4 linked regions of the Sus scrofa genome follow. The protein of the gene in region 3 purifies or fractionates together with the protein of the main gene of each other region. This does not show direct contact. Links are inferred from orthologs where the notes say so. Each region holds a gene or a part of one and is shown on either strand. Other genes may lie near its edges. The genes, in order: LARP1, NCBP3, SRSF3 and SRRM1.

The links.
Region 1: the proteins of SRSF3 (region 3) and LARP1 purify together in Homo sapiens (co-immunoprecipitation; 3 studies listed by BioGRID and IntAct, with this or other methods). This does not show direct contact. The link is inferred for Sus scrofa from reciprocal best matches to the Homo sapiens genes SRSF3 and LARP1.
Region 2: the proteins of SRSF3 (region 3) and NCBP3 purify together in Homo sapiens (co-immunoprecipitation; 3 studies listed by BioGRID and IntAct, with this or other methods). This does not show direct contact. The link is inferred for Sus scrofa from reciprocal best matches to the Homo sapiens genes SRSF3 and NCBP3.
Region 4: the proteins of SRSF3 (region 3) and SRRM1 purify together in Homo sapiens (affinity purification with mass spectrometry; 3 studies listed by BioGRID and IntAct, with this or other methods). This does not show direct contact. The link is inferred for Sus scrofa from reciprocal best matches to the Homo sapiens genes SRSF3 and SRRM1.

Annotation. Positions count from the first base shown.
Region 1 is NC_010458.4:68,405,061-68,410,984, forward strand, and holds part of LARP1 (la-related protein 1), read right to left. Parts: intron 1,986-5,924; coding exon 1,811-1,985; intron 1,693-1,810; coding exon 1,523-1,692; intron 1-1,522. UniProt on the Homo sapiens protein: RNA-binding protein that regulates the translation of specific target mRNA species downstream of the mTORC1 complex, in function of growth signals and nutrient availability.
Region 2 is NC_010454.4:49,897,161-49,903,084, forward strand, and holds part of NCBP3 (nuclear cap-binding protein subunit 3), read right to left. Parts: coding exon 5,799-5,924; intron 3,670-5,798; coding exon 3,541-3,669; intron 2,939-3,540; coding exon 2,862-2,938; intron 1,893-2,861; coding exon 1,784-1,892; intron 1-1,783. UniProt on the Homo sapiens protein: Associates with NCBP1/CBP80 to form an alternative cap-binding complex (CBC) which plays a key role in mRNA export. NCBP3 serves as adapter protein linking the capped RNAs (m7GpppG-capped RNA) to NCBP1/CBP80.
Region 3 is NC_010449.5:32,286,569-32,293,058, forward strand, and holds the start of SRSF3 (serine/arginine-rich splicing factor 3), read left to right. Parts: upstream 1-2,895; 5' UTR 2,896-3,032; intron 3,033-4,735; 5' UTR 4,736-4,737; coding exon 4,738-4,943; intron 4,944-6,437; coding exon 6,438-6,490. UniProt on the Homo sapiens protein: Splicing factor, which binds the consensus motif 5'-C[ACU][AU]C[ACU][AC]C-3' within pre-mRNA and promotes specific exons inclusion during alternative splicing.
Region 4 is NC_010448.4:82,314,608-82,320,531, reverse strand, and holds part of SRRM1 (serine/arginine repetitive matrix protein 1), read right to left. Parts: exon of another isoform or gene 5,704-5,924; coding exon 5,533-5,703; intron 4,712-5,532; coding exon 4,596-4,711; intron 1,847-4,595; coding exon 1,643-1,846; intron 1,199-1,642; coding exon 1,004-1,198; intron 725-1,003; coding exon 605-724; intron 1-604. UniProt on the Homo sapiens protein: Part of pre- and post-splicing multiprotein mRNP complexes. As a component of the minor spliceosome, involved in the splicing of U12-type introns in pre-mRNAs. Involved in numerous pre-mRNA processing events.

The sequences.
Region 1 (5,924 bases), on a different chromosome or scaffold from region 3:
AGACGAAGGCAGGGACAAAGACTATGCCAGGCAGAAAAAACATCATGTCCAAAAGGCAAGAGAAAATAACGTTGCTTTCAGTCAAACAAAAGTAGTTCAGAGTGTGGACAAGTGGAATTTATCTAAGACTTCTGCGGTAAAACATCTGTCTACCTCACAGTGTATCTTAAAGAGATACACTGTGTCGAGTCCCTGCTTGTGCAAAAAGCTTTGTATAAACTCCAAACCTATTCTCCTTTAAGGTTCAAGATGGGAACCTTAGGTGGGAGTGAGGGGTCTGATTCTGGAATGGGGGCTAAGTGCGGCTCTTGCCTTTCCAAAGCCTTCGTGGTCTACAGGCCTGAACCTTGTAAGGTCCTTGTCCACTTAACTACCCTTCGCCTCATAATTCCAGACTAATCTCTAAGACTGTTTGAAGGATCGCAGCCAGAATAGACCAGCCAGTCAGGGTGCGAAGGCAGGAGGAGGAAGGAGATGAGGGAAGCGGTCATAGCGGTACAATGGAAAAGAGAGGACCCCAGACCCAAAGGCCTCCTCACAAGGCCCAGATCAAAGAGGTCTCCAAAGAAGGGATGCGAATGGGAAGGTGGATGGAGCAAAAGTCTGCTCCTAGGAAAGGGGCAGTAATCTTAGTTTGAGATTCAAAGAGCTCTCTAAAAGGAGACTAAATGTCAACTATTCATATATAGCTTCACTATTCCCAGAGCAGTCTAATCCCTCTTTTCTTTCATCTGAAGATGGAGAAAATGAAGCCCTGAGATATGATTATCCCTTTGTCTTCTTAGGGTTGCACCTGTGCCATACGGAAGTTGCCAGGTTAGGGGTCAAATTGGAGCTACAGCTGCTGGTCTACATCACAGCCACATGGGATCCAAGCCACGTTTGTGACCTACACCACAGTTCATGGCAACCCCGGATCCTTAACCCACTGAGCAAGGCCAGGGACTGAACCCATGTCCTCACGGACACTGGTCAGGTTCGTTGCTGCTGAGCCACGACAGGAACTCCTAAAGCCTTGAAATGTTAAAGAAACTTCCCAAGGTCACCACCAGCCAGCAGTGGCAGGAAACCTGTATTCTACTCTAGACTCAAATCTAGTCACACCATGTATCTGCTCCCTCTCCCTTCCCTCTTCAGAGGGTCTGAGGGGCTTATTTGCCGACACTAAGAACAAATACAGGGAGAAAGCAATCAAAACGTAGCCCCAGGGACTTAAATAGGGTAAAAGAACCAAGTATTCAGAACCACTCAGCACTTAATGAGACACGGCTGCCAGAAGCTACAAGATCTCCCTCTGTGAAAACCACCACCCAGGAACTCAGAGCTAAGACTGCCCTATGGGGTAGTCCCCACTGGAAATGCAAACTCACCGTATCAGCCTTCCTGAAGTCACTGGTGACCTCAGCTCGCATTACAACCCTGAGGCACCCAGCCTGCCTGTTAGCCCTTCAGAGCCCAGAGCTCTGTGCCTATGCGACACCCCCGCCCCCAAGCTCCAGGCCAGGGGACAGGCTTCGCTCACCTTCAGTCGTGCAGGGGAGGGCCGAGGTCTTTTCTTGACTTCAATCCAATTCTCAGAATCCAGGTCTGGAAGGCTGGCAGACAGGCCCTTGGGCAGTGTCTTTAGGTTGCTGACCTCCTCTGTTTTGGTTGGCACTGGGGTGACTGCACGGGGAGAGCCGGGCGCCGACTCTGAAGGGCGGAAAGGGGTGGTCCTCATCCCGCCAGTCCTCCTGAGGCCAGCCCTGAGGGACTGCTGGTGGAAGGATGAGGGCAACAGGGAGACATCCACATGCCAGCAGGTACCTACCTGTCTCCTTCTGGTAGTGCTGGCGTGGCACAAACTCTGGGCAATTGAGAAGCTGGGAGAAATCAGTCTGGGAATAATCCACTATTGGGGGACCAGGAAGAGGCCACTTCTCTGGCTCCTCCCTCCTGCGGACTTTCTCTTCAACGATCTCCACCACCTTGCTGTCCTTTAGTGCCTGCCGAGGAGGAGAGAGAGGATGCAGACGAAAGACATCGACAGACTGAGATCCTCTAAGGTGGTTGATGACTGGGCCCCCTGAGCTTAGGAGATGTAAGAAAAGCAGGAGTATGAGGCCAGTGCAGGAGTCTAAGAAAACTGGCACCCTTTCCCATGACAGTGAACAAGTGAGACGCTCAAACTTGTAGGAAGGTATGAACATGAAAAACACACCTGTCCTTTTACCCTGCCATTCTACTTCTAGGAACTGTCCCCAGAGAAATACTTGCACGACAGGTGACAACATGTATAAGATTTGGATAGAAAGCTATTCACAGCAACAATGTAAACAAAAAAAACTAAATTGGAGTTCCTGCTGCGGTTAAGAATCCTACTAGTATCCATGAGGATGTGTGTTTGATTCCTGGCATCGCTCAGTGTGTTAAGGATCTGGCGTTGCCTTGAGCTGCAGATGCAGCCTGGATTCCATGTTGCTGTGGCTGTGGTGTAGGTTGGCAGCTGCAGCTCCAACCGGACCCCTAGCCTGGGAACTTCCATATGCCACACATATAGCTCTCAAAAGCAAAAACAAACAAACAAACTCACCACCACTTAGATAATTTAAACCAATGACGGCACATCATTGAATGGAACACTACTCAAGCTTAAAAAAATCAGCTTCAGGAGTACCCGTTGTGGCAAAGCGGAAACAAATCCAACTAGCATCCATGAAGTCGAGGGTTCGATCCCTGGCATCGCTCAGTGGGTTAAGCATCTCATGTTGCTGTGAGCTGTGGTGTAGGCTGCAGATGCGGCTCGGATCCTGCATTGCTGTGGCTGTGGCAGAGACCGGCAGCTGCAGCTCTGATTGGATCCCTGGCCTGGGAACCTCCATATGCCACAGGTGTGGCCCTAAAAAGAAAAAAAAAAAAAAAAAAAAAAGAAAAAAAAAAAATCAGCTTCAAATGTGCTGAGGTGGTAAAGACCATGAAAAAGTAGGACTAGGTCAGTGAGTTTAAGATCCTATTGGTGTCTGGGAGTTCCTGTTGTGGCACAGCAGTAACAAATCTGACTAGGAACCATGAGGGTGCAGGTTAGATTCCTGGACTCGCTCAGTGGGTTAGGGATCCAGCATTGCTGTGAGCTGTGGTGTAGGTCGCAGAGGTGGCTCAAATCTGATATTGCTGTGGCTGTGGTGTAGGCCGACAGCAACAGCTCTGATTAGACCCCTAGCCTGGGAACCTCCATACGCCATGGGTGCGGCCCTAGAAAAAAGACAAAAACGAAAAACAAACAAAAACAACCCCCATTGGTGTTTGGATTTTTAAGTAAAAACATAGAAATGCACTCAAATTTTTCTAGGATTCACAGGTAAACTGCTATGTGTGTTATCTCTGGAAAGCAGGGTGAAAAAAAGGAGAGAGGAGAGTTTCCTTTTAAAAATCTGACAGCCAGGAAGAGGAAAACATTTCAACATGGAACAAACATACTGCAACGGGTGAGGCTGGAGAAAGAGGCACTCTTTCTGAGAAGAATGCAAAAGGCACACCTACGAGTAAGGGAATCAGGCAATAGCTGGCACAATTACATGCACTGACCCCTTAGTTGAGCCATTCTACTTCTAGAAATCTACACCAAAGTTAAACTAGCTAAATGAGATCCTGCTGTGTAGCACTGGAAACAATGTCTAGTCACTTATGATGGAGCATGACAATGGGAGAAAAAAGAATGTATCCATGTATGTGCAACTGGGTCACCATGCTGTACAGTAGAAAACTGACAGAACACTGTGAACCAGCTGTAATGGAAAAAATAAAAATCATTATAAATAAAAAAAAAACCAAATAAAATAAAATAAAAATCCAAAATACCCCTCCCCCCAAAAAAACACAAAGATAAACTAACTAGAACACAAAAAGATATATATACACCTGTAAACAGGAATAGATATATGTACACCTGTAAATAGGAATGAGGAATATCTTCCAGTTACTACTATTACTATGCTCTAAGCCCCAGATATGTTAGGTGAAAGCAAGAAAGAACAGGTAAAGAAATACTCGTGCCACATCACCGTTTATCAAAGAGAGGGGACACACAGAGGCATTTCCTTTTTTTTTAAATGGAAGGATTCAAAAGAAAGTTGCTTATGTGGAGAAATAAAAGGGAAAAGGTACAAGTGAGAGAATTTTAAATCAGAATTCTATGAACACACCATGTTGACTTTGGACCTATGTAAATGTTTTACATAAAGGTAAAACAAAATTAGGAATTAGCAGTAAGAAAGCAATCCCCATAATCTTGAGAGCAAAACAAAACTAATGAAACTAATACACATTATTAAGTTAAAGACACAACCACATAAAACATTTCAAATTATTTTAAATAACTTGAAAATACAGTCATTGACTGTATAAATTAGAAACCTTTTTATGAGCAGGAGACTATTTTTAAGTATAATGTGTATAAACCATAGAGTAAAAAAACAAACACATAGCTATGTAGATGCCGTTAAGAATTGGGATTTTTGCCATGGGAGAAAGCAGCAGTTACAAATAAAAAATCCTTGGGGTTAAGTAAAGACCCTATACCCCTTGCTTTTAATGGAAGATATCAGTATGATCTCATGTTGGATTTTATTAAAAAAAAAAAAAAAAAAAAAGCTCTAGAAACAGTGACCAATCAAGTAGCAATAAACACCTCTATAACTCAGACTGAGGTATCTAAATACCTTAAATACCATTTCCCCAAATAGAGGACCAAGAGTTCCTTGAAAAAAATAGCCAATTCTAGATCTGGGGCAGGAAATACAAACCAGGGTCCCACTGGCCAAAGAATGGGACAATTTGATTCGGCATAGTAACTGCAACAAATTGAAATAAACAAAATGTTTGAATCTACCAGTTTGTGATGATACTAAGTTAAACAAAAAAAGAGAACTCAAACCTCACTGATCACTTTTTTTGGGGGGGGTCTGCTTAGAGTCACACCTGTGGCATACGGAAGTTCCCAGGCTAGGGGTCATAAATTGGAGCTGTGGCCACCAGCCTACACCACAGCTCACAGCAACACTGAAGCCTTAACCCACTGAGCAGGACCAGAGAGCAAACCTGAGTCCTCATGGATACTAGTCAGGTTGATTACTGCTGAGTCACAATGGGAACTCCCTTCACTGATTACTTTTGAAAGTTATTAGGGATCTGCTCCTAATTCTGAAAACTGACTCCATAATAAAGGGAAAGATCAGGCACCTGTACGCCCTTCCTGAACAAACTATACACCTCTTGGAACCCAACACTTGATAAGGCAAAGCACCTCCTTAAAGAGGTATTCCGGCTAACAAGACAGACCGATACAATACAACCATTTATTTTCTGGTCTCTAATGAAATTAATAGGCAGTGATTGTCAATAGCAGCTTATATGGCAAAAGAGAGAATGAAGTGAAGCACTATGTGCCACCTGAGAATCTATCACCACCTAACAAGCATTCTTGACCAAGGAGAAGGGAAAAAACCCAAAAAGCTGGAATGTGATTGGGCTTCTCCACCACCAATCGACAGAAAACCAGGAGTACAGAAGAACATGTGAAAATTGTTACCCTGTGTCCTACAGAAAATTCTGAAATACATACAATTGAGCATATTCAAATAATAAACTCTGAGGGAAAGGAAGGAGAGGGATGGAGACTTAATAAAACAATAATATATTGGTCTTACCTGGATCCTGAGTCTCAGAAACTACTAACAGAATTTTTTTTTTTTACAAGTAGGATGCATTTGCAACTGACCAAATATGTGGTGATATATTTTTTTTTAACACATCTATATCTTTAGAGTTAGGTACTAAAACAAGGAAGGATAAAAGTGAGGTTACTGGAGATTTCCTTCAAAGTAATTTGGAAGAGAAAAGAGATGAGATATATGGAGTAAGACTGGCCATGAGCTGATAACTGCTGA
Region 2 (5,924 bases), on a different chromosome or scaffold from region 3:
CACCACACTGCCAACAAATAAATGAGAGTTCAGAAGTCATCAATGGACGCTAAAGCTATTACATGGAAGTTTGATGAGCAAGAGGCTATTTACATAGTCGCAAAGCAACTCCCCATAAAATCTTTGAATTCTAAGTTGAAAAAGAGTAACTTTACAGTGGAGAACCCTGGCAATCGTTAACACCCCCAGGAGTGGGACAAATAAATAGATGTGCCTCCTAATAGGAAGCACTGAAAACGACACAACCTCACTTCTGTGGTATGCCTGCCTAAGATGCACAACACGATAATTATCAGGAGGAGACATCAGACAAACTGAAACTAAAGGGCAGCCTATAAAATAATGAGCCTACCCTCTTCGAAAAATGTCTCAGTCAAGGAAAACAAAACAGAGTACCAAACAAAAGCCTTATGAATTGTTAAGAGGCTTTTAATTCCTTAGAGCGGTTCCACATTCAGGGAGGCTAAGGAGACATGGCGGACTTCATACCCCGTCAGTCCTGGAGTAGATCTTAGTACAGTGGGGAGCAGTGTAAAGAATAGTGCAAGAGTTCCTGTTGTGGCTCAGCAGTTTAAGGACCTGATGTTATCTTTGTGAGGGTATGGGTTTGATCCCTGGTCTTGCTCAGTGGGTTAAGGATCTGGTGTTGCCACAAGCTGCACCATAGGTTGCAGATGTGGCTTGGATCCAGTGCTCCCGCAGCTGTGGTCTAAGTCCCAGATGCTTTCAGATTCGACCCCTGGCCCAGGAACTTCCATATGCCACAGGTGTGGCTGTAAAAATAAAACAGGAATAATCCAAATGTATTCACCATCATCACCATCGTCAAGAACTGCTATCACTTACGTAGCACTCACTACATGCCAGGCAGTTTTCATATTCAGAGGTGGGGAATTACAGGAAGTGGTAAAATATGAATGTGGACTACAGATCACGTAACAGTAGTGTATTAATGTTAAGTTTCCTGATTTTGGAGTTTCCTCTGTGGCTCAGCGGTAGCAAATCTGACTAGTATCCATGAGGATGGAGGTCTGATCCCTGGCCTCGCTCAATGGGTTAAGGATCAGGCATTGCCTCAAGTTATGGTGTAGGTTGCAGATACATCTCAGATGGGCACTGCTGTGCCACAGGCCAGCAGCTATAGCTCTGACTGGATCCCTAGCCTGGGAACCTCCATATGCAGCAGGTGTGGCCCTAAAAAGCACCAAAAATTTTTTTTCTCATTTTGACAACTGTGTGTGAGACAAAGTCTTTGTTCTTCAGAAATGTATATTGAAATATTCAGGGGTGAAGGGCTGTCATCTCCAATTAACTCTCAATTGATTCAAAACACACACACTATAAATGTACACCAAATCACTGTGCATAAAAAGCCTTATGAATTGTTAAGAGGTTTTTAATTCCTTAGAGAATTAGAGTTGAATGGCACTAGTAGCAATGTCCAAGAAGATATTGCTATGATACATAAAATATAATTTAAAAATTTTTTCATAGTTCAGATGATAAATTGGCTGAAAAGCAGAGGGGGGCATACTGGCTTTAATAGAAAATAATCTACCTTAGCCAGAAATAACTAAAGTACACAAATGACTAATATTCACTTTCAATGTCTGAAATGCCAACTCGTGCAGCAAGCCAACAATTTTACGAGCACAGAAAGATTACAGTCTGAAGGACCTTTGAGACCACTTGATTGAACTTTCGATTCAAAAGAGAGAGAAGGTGTCACTTGATAAAAATCATTTGGTTAAAAATAAAAATCACTACCAGTTATCACATTTACCTTTCGTCGCAAATCTCATGAATAACCGATTTCCTTTAGCAAGTTTGTTAGCTGGGCGAAGATCATTCCTTAGCAGAGACTCTTCTTCTACCTGAGACAATGTGTCCAACTTAAGGAAAAAGAGCATTTTCAATACAAAAATTAAAGGCTTATTCAAATTTACTCAGTAGCAAAGGTACCAGTGGTTAAGAAAGCAGTCTGTCTTTAAAAGCACCCATCAGCAAGAGAGCGCCAGTTCGGCTGCAGGATGTCTAAGTCAGAGGGCTTCCTCGACCACCTGTCTAAGAGAGTCGTCTCCATCGTCCTCTAGCCGCTTACCCTTCTTTACTTTTCTTCACAGCACTCATCCTTCCTGACATTACATTACATATCTGCGTATCTGTGTACTGTCTGTCTTCCCCACTAGAATGTAGGCTCCGACAGGGCAGGGACTTTGTTTGCTTGACGCTATATCCCCAGCACCTAGAATTTGGTATATAGTAGGCACTCAATAAATAATTTTTAAATGAATACACTTTAACATTTCCAACAACAGTACATACTCCATTAAGAAATATCCCATTACTCGCTCTTCCTTAATGTTACTGATTGAATAACACTTCAGGAGTTCCTGTGGTGGCTCGGCAGTGATGAACCCGACTAGGGTCCACGAGGGTGCAGGTCGATGCCTGGCCTCACTCAGTGGGTTAAGGATCCAACAGACACGGCTCAGATCGTGTGTGGCTGTGGTTGTAGGCTGGCAGCTGGCAGCTCCGATTCGACCCCTGGCCTGGGAACTTCCATACGCCACGAGGGCGGCCCTAAAAAGAAAAAAACAAAAACCAAAACCCCACTTCAAGCTATTTCTCAAGACAATCATTTCCTTTAATAGAGCAGTGGAGTACTCGTCTAAGACATCAAGATCAATCGCTCACTACAGCCACACGAACTGAAAGGCCAAGAGCCTGGTGCCCCCTCAGGAGGTCTGAGGTGAAAGCCAGAGGAAGAACACGTGGCAGCACGTCGTTAAGGCTCACCAGCAAGACAGGAAGCAGCTGTCTACAGCGAAAGCTCTGGACACCTTCACCCCCTTACTGACCTCTGCATCACTGGAGTTCTCATCCTCAACTTCTCCTTCTTCAGCCTCGTCATCGTCTGAACTGTCTTCCTGCTTGTCTAAACGGAAGGCCGGGCAGCGGAAACAGACACAACATTGTCAGTCGAATACGATAAATAAAAACCTTAACAAAATTAAAAAATTTCAAAAATAAAATGGAACGCGAGGGACAAGATGAACCTTAACATAACTCTATCTCGTGTATGTTAAAAGTCTACTATTTTCTCCTCCTCTTTATGAATGATCCAAAGCATCATAGTTGACTTCAGAAAAAACTGGCCATGAGATGCTAGGTGACACTTTGCACAGAAATTCAACCTGTAAAGAATAGGACTTTCAGGAGTTCCCGTCGTGGCGCAGTGGTTAACGAATCCGACTAGGAACCATGAGGTTGCAGGTTTGGTCCCTGCCCTTGCTCAGTGGGTTAACAATGCGGCGTTGCCGTGAGCTGTGGTATAGGTTGCAGACGTGGCTCGGGTCCCTAGTTGCTGTGGCTCTGGCGTAGGCCGGTGGCTACAGCTCCGATTCGACCCCTAGCCTGGGAACCTCCATATGCCGCGGGAGCGGCCCAAGGAATAGCAAAAAGACAAAACAAAAAACAAACAAACAAAAAAAAGAATAGGACTTTCAGCCCCAAAGTCCCTCCTTTGTGGCCAGTCACCTTTTTTACTTTTCTCAGATGACTTGTCCTCACTGGCATCCCTGCTTCTTATCTTATCCAGGGCCGGCAGAGAACTCATATTGATAAGGGCTCTTGCGGCCGTCATTTCATCCAACCAAACGACATTACCTAAAATAAGATGTAAAATAACACGTTACATCCCATCCAAACAAGGAGTTTCTTAAGAACAGAGACTACATCATGTTCACTGCTATGGTCTCCAGTAGCCTCAAAGTGGCATCAGTAAATATAAAATCAACTCATAAGAGGAAGCACAGAACATGGCAGTAAAAGCTTTGATAAAATTAGCCTAGCGTTGCCTTCACACACTGGACTCAACAGAAAGGTCTAGACTTCCATGGACAAGGGTTCTGTATATTAAGACTGCCTGGCAGAAGAGGGAGTGTCACACATAATGTTCGCCGTCCTTAATGATGACGATGATGCTGTCAAATAAATTTGGATTATCCTTTATTCTTCTGCCCCCACATGGAAGCCCTCTGCTGCTACTTGTCATCCAGACATAGTAAATGATGTCCCCCTACTGTCAAGTGACAATGGCACCATTGGCATACACACCATGGAGGTGTGACAGCCACTTGGCTTTGCAGCAACCAATTTAATTTGCTTCTTTAAGTGAATTTATCAAGGAAAAGGTTTTGAGAAGTTTAACTCTAAAGCAGTATTTCTCAAACTGATGTCTCTGTTATCCCTGTCTCAGTTTGGGAAATGAAGGTCTAAGGATTCTCATTCTTGTGAATAATATGCCACATGGTCTTAAGCAAATAACTTCCCTCTGTTTCGCAGTTTCTGATGTACAGCAGGAGGTAGCTGAACTGGATGATTCTAAGGGTCCCTCTGACTCAAACATTCCTTAGTTATAGTTCTGTTAAATCAGGGGTTAGCAAATGCAGCCCACCACCTGTTTATTCATTCATTCATTCATCCACCACCCAGCTATTTACATGTTTTATTTACAGCTTTATTTAGTTATAATTAATGTACAAAAAACTACACACCCACCACATGTTTGTATAGAAAACAGCCAGGTTCATTCAATTATACTGCCTATGGCTGCTATCATGCTATAATAGCAGAGCTGGGTACACTCCATAGAGCCTGTATGGCCTGCAAGGCCTAAAATATTATCCAGCCCTTACAAAAAAGGTTTTCCAACCCCTGCTTTGGACGGTCTAAGTTAGAACCGAAAAAAAAAAAAAAAGGAGAAAAACCTTTTACTTAGTCATATTTCTTCTTCTTTCAGTGAAAACACTGAAATAACATCTAAAGAAAGCAGCCAGGAAAACCAGGTCAGCAAGCTGGCAGTAATTAAAGCCAGACTAGAAGTGAATTAAGACAAGAAGCCAGTGGCAGAGTTTCCTGGTGGCCCAGCAGTTAGGGACTCCGTGTTGTCACTGCTGTGGCTCGGGTTCAGACCCTGGCCCAGGAATTTTTGTATGCCATGGGTGTAGAAAAAAAAAAAAAAAGATAAGAAGCCAGCAGTTTGGTTACCAGAGGTCAAGCCAGACTTGGAGTGGGAAGCAAGTTAAAAAGTACAGTTAGCTCACAAGTGGAACAGCTCACAGATTAAGGCAAAGCAGATGAAGTGCCAGAAAACATGATTCAAAGCAAGCAGAGGTAGAGTTCCCGCTGTGGCTCAGTGGGTTAAGAATGTGACTAGTATCCATGAGGATGCAGGTTCGATCTGGGTTATAAGGATCTGGCATTGCTGTGGCTGTGGCAAAGGCCAGCGGCTGCAGCTCGGACTCAACCCTAGCCTGGGAACTTCCACATGCCACGGGTGCAGTCCTTAAAACAAACAAACAAATACAACAAGCAAGCAGAGGTGAAAGGTCTGGCACAGTGTCAAGAGGGTTCTGGTTGAGCTCAAGGTCAGAGACAGCCCTCTAGAGAGCTGTATGGCAACTGCAATGACAAAGTCCAAAGCCCTGAAAATGGAGCCCCACGTCTATGCAGTTGGACCCACCTCTTTATTGGGAAACCCACTCAGACGCCAGCAACCAATCCTCCAGCCCTGATCACCACCTCTGAGCTGACTTAGAACACTCATGGTGTGTAACCTAGCCAGACTGGTTAATGCACTCTGGTTCTCATCAATGGGCAGTTTTTTTTCTCTCCTAGGCTAAGCGCAGAGGTTAGACATAGTCTGGCTACAATCATTCACCATCTGGGATGGCAAGAAGTCTTTTAAAACCGTAAACAAAGGCATACTCAACAGAACACCTGGGTGTACTTACAGGAGGTGTCATCCAACCACTCAATGTGAGCTGGAGGATATTCTTTAAAATAGGAGAAGATGTCCTGGGTACTCATCTCATCTACGCCACAAATGTAGATGGTCTCCAGTCTCACTTTGGGGATTG
Region 3 (6,490 bases):
ACATATTTCTTGTCCAAGAAATTCTGTTATGCTCTTTTTTTTTCTTTTTCAGTTATGTCCTTTTGATGCTTCCTGGAGCTCTAGGGTCTAGACAAGAGTAGTTGATGGTTGAATAAATTTAAGGGAACATTAAAGTATTCCATAATTTAAATGGATAAATCACTTGACTGCAGTTAGCAGAAGATGGAAAGTGTGTGTGGATGGGCGGAGGAGGTTCAAACGGTATTTGGGAATACCGTTGGAGGGATTAAAGTGCTCCATTAAGATACACACTAGAGGTCCTGTTGTAGCTCAGCAGGAAATGAATCCGACTAGTAACTATGAAGCTTTGGGTTTGATCCCTGGCCTTGATGAGTGTGTTGGGGATCCAGTGTCACCATAAGCTGTGGTGTAGGTAGCAGATGAGGCCTGGATCCGGCATTGCTGTGGCCGTGGTATAGGCTGGCAGCTGTAGCTCCATTCGACCCCTAGCCTGGGAACTTCTATATGCTGTGAGTGCAGGCCTAAAAACCAAAAAAAAAAAAAAAAAAAAAAAAAAAAAGATACATGCTGGATTAGCATTACACACACAAACAAACAAACAGGAAAAATGGTGGTAAAGAATGGGATACTGATATGTGAAAAGAACATTTGGGAGTTTCCATTGTGGCTCAGCTGAAACGAATCTGATTATTATCCATGAGGACAAGGGTTCGATCCCTGGCCTCACTCAGTGGGTTAAGGATCGGGTGTTGCCATGAGCTGTGGTGTAGGTCGCAGATACAGTTCGGACTGGAGTTGTTGTGGCTGTTGTGTAGGCTGGCAGTTACAGGTCAGATTCAACCCCTAGCCTGAGAACGTCAATGTGCCACAGGTGCAGCCCTTAAAAAAAAAAAAAAAAAAAAAAAAAAGAACATTTAAAAAGAGCATTTTCGAGCAAGGGTTGTGCCAGCTTATTTATCTGCATTATTTATTTTAATTAATTAGATAATTAAACAAATATGTATTGATCATCTGCTCTCTGCCAGACTTGTTTTCAGGCCCTGGGGAGGCGGAGTGAGCAACAACAGTCCAAAGGTGAAGTTCCTGGAGTTCCCACTGTGGCTCAGTGGTTAACGAATCCAACTAGGAACCACGAGGTTGTAGGTTTGATCCCTGGCCTTGCTCGGTGGGTTAAGGATCCAGTGTTGCCATGAGCTGTGGTGTAGGTGGCAAACACAGCTCGGATCCCATGTTGCTGTGGCTCTGGCGAAGGCCAGCAGCCTACAGCTCTGATTAGACCCCTAGCCTGGGACCCTCCCTATGCCACAAGTGCAGCCCTAGAAAATACAAAAAGACAAACAAAGTTGAAGTTCCTGTAAGTGGGGAGACTGCATGTAACAACCCTGCAAGGCTTGGTGTAGTTACCCATTTTACAGAGAGGAAACTAATATTGAGATGGTAAGGGATATTTCTCCAGACACTTTAGCAGTAAGTAGCAGCAGTACTGTGGGTCCAAATATAGGACTGTCTGACTTCAATGGCTTTGCTTTGATAGAAGGAAATAAAAAGAGGAGAAAAGCTTACACAGGAAGAGAGGAGCAAATCAAAGCAAATAGAAGTAAGCCAGAATAGAAAAACATTTAGAGAAGGAAAGAAGAGGAAGAGAAAAGCTTTGCTAGAATTCCTACCTGGGAAAAACCCAGGTAAGACCAGCTCAGGGCTTGGCTCAACAAATGTAGTTTCCATTCTCCCTCTTCCCTTGCCAGTATGAAATCCTCGTTTTTTACAGGTGTGAAAACTCAGAAACAGTAAGTCGTGTCTCCACCCCACATGGATAGATAAACTTCTTAGAGCCACAATAAGAGAATATCTGGGAAAAGGAAAGCAGTGAATGTTTGGCATATCTTTCAGCTACTGGTGGAAAAATACAAGTTATTATTTTTCTTGAGAGCAGATTTAGATACGTTAGTAAGTCAGACTCCACTGAAAGGGGAGGAAACCAGGCAACCCTCTTAGCTGAACTCACTGTTCCAGAGAGGAAGATCTTGGTGATTTTTCTAACAAACCATTGGTATTTCTCTCCCAATAGTTAATTTCGTGGCTCAGTTCTTTTCAGAGGAAGTGGAAAGCAGAGAGGAAGGTGTTAGTGAACCATAGACCCCCCACCTCTGAGCCCCGGTCAGTACAACAGCCTTTGCCAGAAGACAGACTGGTATTCGTTGCGGAGGAGAGGGGTGCCGAATTCAATCTCCTCAGGAACTTCCTTTTATACTGTTACTAAATGCGATACTTTCTGGATGGCCTGACCCGTCTCATTTGCCTTTGAGTTTCTATTAAACATTTCAAGAGTCCAAAATGATGACGCCATCGTCTCTGCCAAATCGTGCAGTTTGGGTGAGAGGTGGCAGACCAGCCAGAGTTGGGCCGACTTTCCGTGACTGGGCTTTTCCCCAAGTGTGGGACCCGGAGGGGCACAGTGTGGTGACAGCGGGTTCACAAACAGCCCCGTGACCTTGGGAGCAACTCCGAAGCACGTTTGTAAACGTGATGGTCTCAGTTCCTGCCTAACCGCTCATGCGGAGCAGTAATTAATGAACTCATTTTATACTGTAATCTTATTGGGTGCAAAAGGCTCTATCAGTGTTTGGGTGTGACCGGCGATGATGTTATTAAATCCCTATTAATAGGCTATTTGGAGATGAGGGAGAGGTGACTGAGGAGAACTCGGCAACAGGAGAATTACACCGAGGGAGCTCTGGCCCTGAGGCACGACGGCTGCGCGCGTCTCCACCGACGAGGCAGCACAACCAGAGAAGGCTCTCAGCAACCGCGGTTCTCGCAGCGTTTGTGGCCATTACGTCACGGTCTTCTTCGCCTCTCATTGGGCGAACCCGTCCAATCATGTGACTCCAGGATGGCTTATAAATACAGGCGAGGAGACGGTGTTGGTCCGCCATTTCGTGGACGCCGGATCGGGGAGAGTATCTGCTGGAGCCAGGCGGGAGGGGAGTGGGAAGAGACAGCCGCGGGTGCGTGGATTTGAGTCTTCGCATTTCTAATCTAAGATCTCGGTAAGAGACCCAGCGACTAAAGGAATGAGGTGGGAAATGGGCCTTAACAGGACCGAGGTGGGGCCAGGCCCAATGGCGGCGCCAGATTGAGACAAAGAGACGCTGCCGCCATTTTGTGACGTTCAACACGGGGCGGTGGAGGGGGCTCCCGGCCCCCCGGAGCAGGCACCCAGGCTTCCAAGTGGAGGTGCTTATAACCCTTCCCTGGGGGGCTGAATCGGGAAGTGAGATTGCTCGAGTTGAGGCAAAGGGGGTATCGGTAATCGGTTGTACTCTAGATCGCGGCCATTCAATTTATGGCGCCTTTTTTTTCTTTTTGCCCACGTTTCCTTAAGTAGCGGCTTAGGATTTTTTTTCTTCAAGTCACTACTCAAGACTGGACCCTTCGATCCATATTTGAGGATTTCTCTACTTTCTTTCATTTTCGTGTTACTTTAACTTCACTTTTTACAGCCTGAATCCAATAACTATTTTTTTTTAAGCTGATCTTTCTTGAGCTGTATTGTTCTTATAGCTGCTTCGCATTAAAACTGGTCAGGGTAAAGTTTTTGGGAAAGATTAATTCACCAACAATGGGTTTGGTCTCGGAACTTCTGGGCACAGGGCGGGGTCACACAAATAGGATGTGTCTGGGCGGGTATTTTTTTTTTTTTTAATTGGATAACGTGTTTATGAAAAGCCCTTAAGCTGAGTTTTTGGACAGGCTGCTTTTCGTATGTAATCTACAAGTTGATTAGATTCGTTGCTGAGGCGGCTTTATTAGTATTGAAGGTTTTTCAAATGTAAACTAAAGTGCCTTAAGTTCTTGCACAACAAATAATCTATTTTTTTCCCCATGAGGTGGAGTTAATGTAACATTCATTTTAAAGTGCACGATTCAGAAGCATTCGATACCTTCACAATGTTGTGTAACTATCACCTCTATCTAGTTTTAAAGCATTTTATTATACCCACTAAGGTGACCTGTACTGTTAAGCAGCCACTACCCTTTTGGCCTGCCCCTTTCTCTCCCGCAGCCCCTGGTAGCTACTAATCTGTCTCTGGATTTACCCGTTTCGGATATTTCACATACATGGGATGGTATTACGTGTATTTTTTTTGTCTGATATCTATAACTTAGCATGCTTTCACGTTTTGTCCATGTTTATGGGTACTCGTTCCTGAATACTCCATTGTATGGGTAATAATTTTGCTTCTCCATTTTGTTGCTGGACATTTGGGTTAACACCTTTCGGCTGTTGAGGGTAGAACAAGATATATATTTTTAAAAAACAAGTTTGTCCTGCTTGAGTAAAGTTTTGGCTTGTGAAGGCACATTACTATCACTTTTTTAGTGGTTTAGCCTTAACTGCTGTCTTGTCTTCACTTGTCATTTTGTTTTGTAGTCTCCAGGTTTTGCTTTTAATCCTACTTTTCAAAGTTGTTCCTCCCCCCCCTTCAGATAACTGAAATAGGTTTAAGTCTCTCAGTTCCCATTTTGTGGCATATGCTCCCCTACTGTTTCCTCCCTCCACTTCTCTGGGAGGTGATTTTTTTTTTTATTTTCTTACACAGCTTGGCTTCCAGGTGGTTATTGGCAACGATTGGGGTGTTTCAAGGGTAGTGCCTTTACCTTTTTTCGGTTTTTGAATTCTTTCCTAAGGATCTGTTTTTTACTGTGTGGGTTATGATATTTTGGATTTTTTTTTTTTTTTTTGTTACAGAAATGCATCGTGATTCCTGTCCATTGGACTGTAAAGTTTATGTAGGTAATCTGGGAAACAATGGTAACAAGACTGAATTGGAACGAGCTTTTGGCTATTATGGACCACTCCGAAGTGTATGGGTTGCTAGAAATCCTCCTGGCTTTGCTTTTGTTGAATTTGAAGATCCCCGAGATGCAGCTGATGCTGTCCGAGAGCTAGATGGGAGGTAATTTGTTAATTTTTGCTAATAATATGTTGTTTGTCCTTTTAATATTTAAAATCTCTAGGATAAGAGGTTTTTAGATGGCTTTGTGGAGATTTACATAAATTTTTTTTTTTCTGGCCAAAAAAGGACAACGGTTTTAGTGACGATACGTAGGGAGAGTTTATTCAGTTTGCCATTGAAGAAAAGAATTTTATTTGCAGTTGGCGGGTGGAGAGCAGCATCCAAAATATGACTGAAATATTTTAATCTAAATCCACTATAAATAGTCATGTTGTAAACTTTGAAATCTAAAATTGTGGAATCAGACATTCCCTTATGGTCACATCCTGATTGATTGTAGCTGGATGATGGTTACATGGGTTTATTGTACCATTATCTTTACATGATAACACTTTTTTTTAGGAAGTGTGGGTGTTATTTCCCTATGCTTTTAGTGTCTTGTTGACTGGCTAAGTAACACCTGAGGTTAGTTGGGTGTTTTGTTTTGTTTTTTGGTTTTTTTTGTTTGTTTTTTCTGTGCTAGTGGCTTGTGGATGTTCCCAGGTTCTGGGATCAAATGTGACAGTGCTGCATTCTATTTTTTTTTTTCTATTACTCAGTGAACTTATTACATTTTTAGTTGTACGATGATCATCACAATCCAATTTTATAGGATTTCCATCCCCCAACCCCCCCAAACTGTCTCCAGTGCTGCATTTTTAACTTGCTGAGCCACCGGGGAACTCAAATAACACCTGAGTCTTAAAGTGAACTAGTGTTGCCCTTTATCCTGGCATTTGCAAACCACTGGATTTCATGAAATCAAGGAAAACTTTGATCCTTAAGATGGAAAACTGAAAGGATCTGAGAGTTGGCTGTAAAGCTATATGAAAGGTCACTTAACTAAGCAAATTGCAGAAACTGGTTGAGAGCCCCACCTCTTCCCAGTGTCTGTCCAAATGTGGCTTATCTAAACTTAATGGTTGTGGACCAATGAAGAGGTGGGAGATAACTTTCTTACTGTTCTCACTTGCAATTTCTTGTCAACTATTGTGTGATGATTGAGTGGAGAGGGTTGTATTAAATAAATGGCCAGAATGCTTCTGTCCTGTTTACTGCTCTTTACTTGGAGGTATGAAGAGAAAGGAGACCAACAAATATAGTAAGGTTGGTAAACAATTGCTGGGACCTCAAAGGAAGTAGTCACACCAGCATGTACAGATGAACTAATTCTTTGAGAATGGATCCAGGGATTTTCACACTTAATATTGTCACTGTGATCATTGAACCCAATGATCACACTGACTAACAAAGCAATAAAATGTAAGGAAGGTGTTTTTTACCAGAAAAAAATATAGAAACTAAACCTTGTTTTGGTGTTAAGAATTCTATGAGCATTCAGATGTTTCTTACACAGAAACTAGCTATAAATGAATGTTGGGGTTTTTTTCCCGCTTTAATGTGTATCTTTTAATCAATCCGGCTGCTTTAAATTTAATGTTTCTTCCCTCTTAGAACGCTGTGTGGCTGCCGAGTAAGAGTGGAACTCTCTAATGGTGAAAAGAGAA
Region 4 (5,924 bases), on a different chromosome or scaffold from region 3:
CACAACAGCAACTTCCACCTTATGCTAATTTAAAAATGATTTTTAAAAAGGAACACTGGTATTGACAGGGTTACTTTTATGCGGCCTCTTCAAATTGCTAACAATAGTTATATCTATGGAATGGGACTGGGTAACTCTAAGTTCGTTTTACTTGTTTTAACTGTTTATAATAACTGCTCACTACTTCTTAAATATGAAAAAAATCTTTAAGAGTATAAATCAAGTGAATTATTTTAATACTGGTAGAGCAATCAACTGGCTCTGCAGTCATCTATATTTAGAAGCTAATGGTTAAAACCCAAAGAAAGGGTAAGGCAGCCAATTCCCTTACTTGATAGGATTTCTTGGTAGCATCTGAAAAGATCAAGGTTAACACAGATAACAAGTATCAATAAGATAGTGAATTTGTTTTTAATTTTCCAAATCTGGATTAGTGTTGCTTAGCATTGCACAAGTAACAGCACTACAACCTCAAATGAGGATGATCTTTATAAGACATTGCTTAATACCACTCATGACTTCTTTTTTCCCAGGATGACACTAATTCAAAGATTAGCCTAAAACAAATATATGGTCACTTCCAAAACAAAAAACCACCTCTCACCGTCTCACTGGAGATCTACTCCTTCTATGCCTTGGTGGAGGAGGCATTCGTCTCGGTGGAGTTCTTCTTCGAGGAGATGGCCGTCTTCTTGGGCTTGGCCGCCTTCTAGGGGAGTATGATCTACCATAACAAACAGAATTAGAATCTGAATAAATCTTGAGCAAGAACAAACACCTTGACATAGTTTTCTTGACAACTACATCCAAAAAACGGTTTTCAAGGGATATGAGTGTGTAGATTTTTACAGACCATACAAAGTGCCCTCAAATTCTCTCTAAATTCAAAGTTTAACATTTGTGCAAAATTTTTCTACTGCTTTGAAATAATTTACCCAATTCTATCTAGGAGAGTTAGCACATAAAATTTAAGATCTAGGCAGATATTACAGCCATTACCCACCTTGATCGGGATCTATGGCGCCTTCTAGGTCGAGTATGAGAAGGAGAGCGAGAACGTGTCCGGGATCTTGACTTGGAACGTGACCGAGATCTTGGTCTGGTCTTCTCCTTTTCCTTTTCCTTTTTGGAATTCTTCTCTGGAGAAGGTTCTTTAGGCTCTGGTACAGGTTCAGGCTTGGGAACTTTCAGGATGTCACTGTGGGGGGAAAAAAAGCTTACTTTCCCCCTCTTCTCAGAATCCCAAGTCATAATACAATGATACAAAAAGTTTATCTTTCTTTGGTTTTCAAAATTCATGAAGATGTCTAGAAAGATATATACACATCAGTAAAATTCAGTGAACAACCAACAATTCTAACCACATCCATTTCTTAAAACTGCAAAGTTGTCCATAATATTGGGACGGGGGCAGGTTACAGTATATAATATTGGAAATTAAAAAAACAGCAGATAGCAGTGGTCATCTTGGGGGCATTTTACTTATACTCTCCTATACAATTTAAATTTCTCAACAATCTAACTTTGTAATTTAAATAACCTAAAAAGAAAATTAGTAAGCTTACATTTCTAACTCAGAGGTACACCTATTTACACTCACCGAATAACAGCCTAAAACTGCAGACATTTATTATGTACTTGCCTAGTAGAAGTGGCCTCTTGTACTGAAGGTTCTTTCACTTTCACTGATGGCTCTGGGAGCTCCGGAGTTTTTTCCTTCTTCTCTGGAGCAGGGGAAGGACTCCGGCTCTTGGTTCTGTGACGGGGAGATCGAGAATGACTGCGCTTTCTCTCTCTCCTGACAGGGGAAGATCGTCTTCTAGGGGAAGGAGATCTGGATTTGCGTCTAGGATGAAAGCAATTTTTTTCAGGTTTTTTGAATAATGTGGACTGGGGAAGAGGGTCAAAAGAAGTGAGATTAATCTTTTTAATTACACTACTGTTGTTTATATCTGAGAAGTTCCCTATGGAAATAAGATATCCTATCACATTTACTTAAGAGGAAAAAGGCCAAGAGAAAACCAGAAAAACAAGCAAATGAAGATTATAATATTCTCCGAAATATACCAGTTACAACATACTAAGGATTCTAGATTTAGGTTCTTAATCACTTCCAGAAATGAAGAAAGCAAAGAGCAACTTTTCAGAGGAAGAGGGTGCTTAAAAGGAAGGAAATATAATGAAATTAAACCCAACAAAACAGAAATTGGATGCAGACAGATCCCATCAGAGTTCATCAGGTAGAGTCCAAGTATTCTAGGATAACATCTGCTGCAACTAAAGCAATATGTTCTTCCGAAAAGAAGCATTTCAAACTTGGCTAAGACAGCTTTTTTGAAAGAGAAGCCTTTCCATTTCAACAGTAGTTTCCCTAACCTGAAGTAAAACAGCAGACCTGATCCATCAATAGTCAAATAGTTACCATGATTTGTGCGTAACTCTAGGAATAATACTGCTTCTCTGATAAGCAGCTTTTTTTTGGGGGGGGGGTTCTTCTCAGGGCCGTACCCTCAGCATATGGAAGTTCCTTGGCTAGGGGTGGGAATCAGAGTTACAGCTGCTGGCCTTATACCACAGCCACAATAATACCAGATCCAAACCTCATCTGTGACCTACACCACAGCTCACGGCAACGCCAGATCCTTTAACCCACTGAGCGAAGCCAGGGATCGAACCTGCATCCTCATGGATACTAGTCGGGTTCATTACCGCAGAGCCACTGAGAAGGACTCCTGATAAGCAGCTTTTAATATCAAATCTATAAATGAAGGGGACGAAGAAAAATTACTTTCTCCCTTTACTAATTCTGGCAGATTTATGAAGAAATTAAAATTAGCAGAACTCTAAAAATGAAATGTCTAATGGAATTCTCACCCTTCATCACAACTACAGAAGCCAAATCATGGATTTTATTTATTTACTTACTTATTCTACTTATTGGCCATGCCCTCAGCATGTGCAAGTTCCCAGGCCAGAGATCAAACCTGCACCATAGCAGCAACCCCAGCCACTGCAGTGACAATGCTGGATCCGCAACCCACTACACCACAACTCTTGAATCATGGATTTTATAATGGGAAACTTGGGAGTTCCCTTGTGACCTAGGAGTTAAAGATCCCCCCTTGTCACTGCTGTGGAGCAGGTCTGGTCCCTGGCCCAGGAACTTCCACATACAGTGCAGACAAAAAAAAAAAAGGTGGGGGGGCTAACCAGTCTCAGTGGAAGGAAGAAAGCAAATGACCTGTTTTGGGTTCAGAACAATCACCTAAGAAAAGCAAAACAAGAGTTCCCTTCTTGGCTCAGCGGTTAATGAATGCAACTAGGATCCATGAGGATGCAGGTTCAATCCCTGGCCTAGCTCAGTGGGCTAAGGATCCTGCTGTGAGCTGTGGTGTAGGGTGCAGATGCAGCTCAGCTCTGGCGTTGCTGTGGCTGTGGCATAGGCCAGCAGCTGTAGTTCTGATTGGACTCCCAGCCTGGGAACGTCCATATGCCACAGGTGCAGCCCAAAAAGCAAAAAAAAAGAAAAGAAAAGAAAACAGAATCAGGTAAGTATAATATAAAGAACTAATGGGCATAGATTTCTAATTTAAAAATGGAGAAGAAAGAACTGGAATACATTAAATAACTCTGCAGTAGAGATTGGCACAACACTGTAAATCAACTGAACTTTAAATACAAAAGAGAACAAGACATAAAGAGTAATAAAACTTTGAATCAATGGAAAAAATAATAACTCAAAATAATTTAAAGTAAAGCAATATGAATGAGAAGTCTACATTCTGATTTAAGAATTAAGGGTTGACTGATTCACCAAGATTTAAGAGATAATTATTACAGTCAAATGATGATCTGTCTCAAAAGATGAAGTATTTTGGCCCAGAGGCAAGCAATAGCTCACCATGAAAATTGTATGATAGAAGAAATTTCCTGAACAGTGCTATTAGCTCCTTTTTTAATTATTTTTTTGTCTTTTTGCCTTTTCTAGGGCCACTCCTGCAGCACATGGAGGTTCCCGGGGTTGGGGGTCTAATCGGAGCTGTAGCCGCCAGCCCACGCCAGAGCCACAGCAACTTGGGATACGAGCCTCGTCTGCAACCTACACCACAGCTCACGGCAACGCCGGATCCTTAACCCACAGAGCAAGGCCAGGGATCGAACCCGCAACCTCATGGTTAGATGCGTTAACCACTGAGCCACAACGGGAACTCCAGCTCCTTTTTTTTTTTTTGTCTTTTGTCTTTTGTCTTGTTGTTGTTGTTGCTATTTCTTGGGCCACTCCCGCGGCATATGGAGGTTCCCAGGCTAGGGGTCCAATCGGAGCTGTAACCACCGGCCTACGCCAGAGCCACAGCAACTCGGGATCTGAGCCGCGTCTGCAACCTACACCACAGCTCACAGCAACGCCGGATCGTTAACCCACTGAGCAAGGGCAGGGACCGAACCCGCAACCTCATGGTTCCTAGTCGGATTCGTTAACCACTGCGCCACGACGGGAACTCCTCCAGCTCCTTTTTTAGCTGTGTAACTTTCTGCATAGAGAATACTCTAACATACTCATAAAATATTAGGTATGTATGCAGATTGTCCTGTACCTTCTTGGGCTTCGAGATCTCTCCCTTTTTTCTCTGCTGCTCTCTTTTTCTTCTTTATCCCTCTTATCCTTGTCTTCATCTTGCTTTTTCATAGATGCTAACTTTTCTTGTTCAATCTGTAAAGATCAGATTTTCAAAGTAAAACACAATCGAACATTTACAATCAACAAGCAAACGGAAAACTGACTGCACATTGGATAAACACCAATACTATTTGTCGTTTCATCAGCCTCTGCTTTCAACAAGACCGTTCTTTCTTCATCCCCGCTAAAGGTAAACTTTAGAACTAGTAATGAATAATTCAAATACTTGCTGAAAATTAATACTGAATGGCTTAACTAAAGAAAATGGCTGTTTTCGGAGTTCCCATCGTGGTGCAATGGAAACGATGAGGAACCATGAGGTTGTGGAGTTCGATCCTTGGCTTCGCTCAGTGGGTTAAGGATCCGGTGTTGCCATAAACTGTGGTGTAGGTCGCAGACATAGCTCGGATCCTGCACTGCTGTGGCTGTGGAATAGGCTGGCAGCTACAGCTCTGATTGGACCCGGAGCCTGGGAACCTCCATATGCCGCAAGTGCAACCCTAGTAAGTTTTTTTCTTTTTTGTATTTTCTAGGGTCACATCTGCAGCATATGGAGGTTCCTAGACTAGGCGTCTAATCTGAGCTGTAGCCTCTGATCCCTCTGAGGCCAGGGATCGAATCCGCAACCTCATGGTTCCTAGTTGGATTCATTTCAGATGCGCCATGATGGGAACTCCTTTTCTTTGTTTGTTTGGTTTTTTTTTTTTTTTTTTTGATTCCTAGTAAGACACACACACACACACACAAAAGAAAAGGCTATTAAGCCTAGCCAGGACATGTAAAATTTTAAACATCTTAACAGTCTGGATACTGCTCTCTCAAATAAAACATTACAAAAAGGAAAAGGCTATTACCTGTCTCTGTTTTATTTCTTCTTTCTTCAGTTCTAGGAAAGCAGAAGGGATTCCAGCGATGTTTTCCTGTGCACTTAAGAGCAGGGGCCACAGTTCTCCCATAAATTCTCTAGCATTTTTTCCATTCAAAAACCCAGTCAGGTTGATTTGCATCATTTTGGAATCTGGATTCTGCAAAAAGACATGACAGGAAGAGAAACAGGTTACTCCAAAACAAACCAATCAATCAACCTAAAGCTCATTTCAATTAGTATTTTTTAAGTCTATCATAGGGGCTTAGAGATATATATATATATATTCTTTACTATTTTAAAAATAGCTTTTTCTAGTAGTTTCTCAGCAATATAATCACTAGCACAGATTACCAAATTCTCTCTCACTCTACCAAAAGC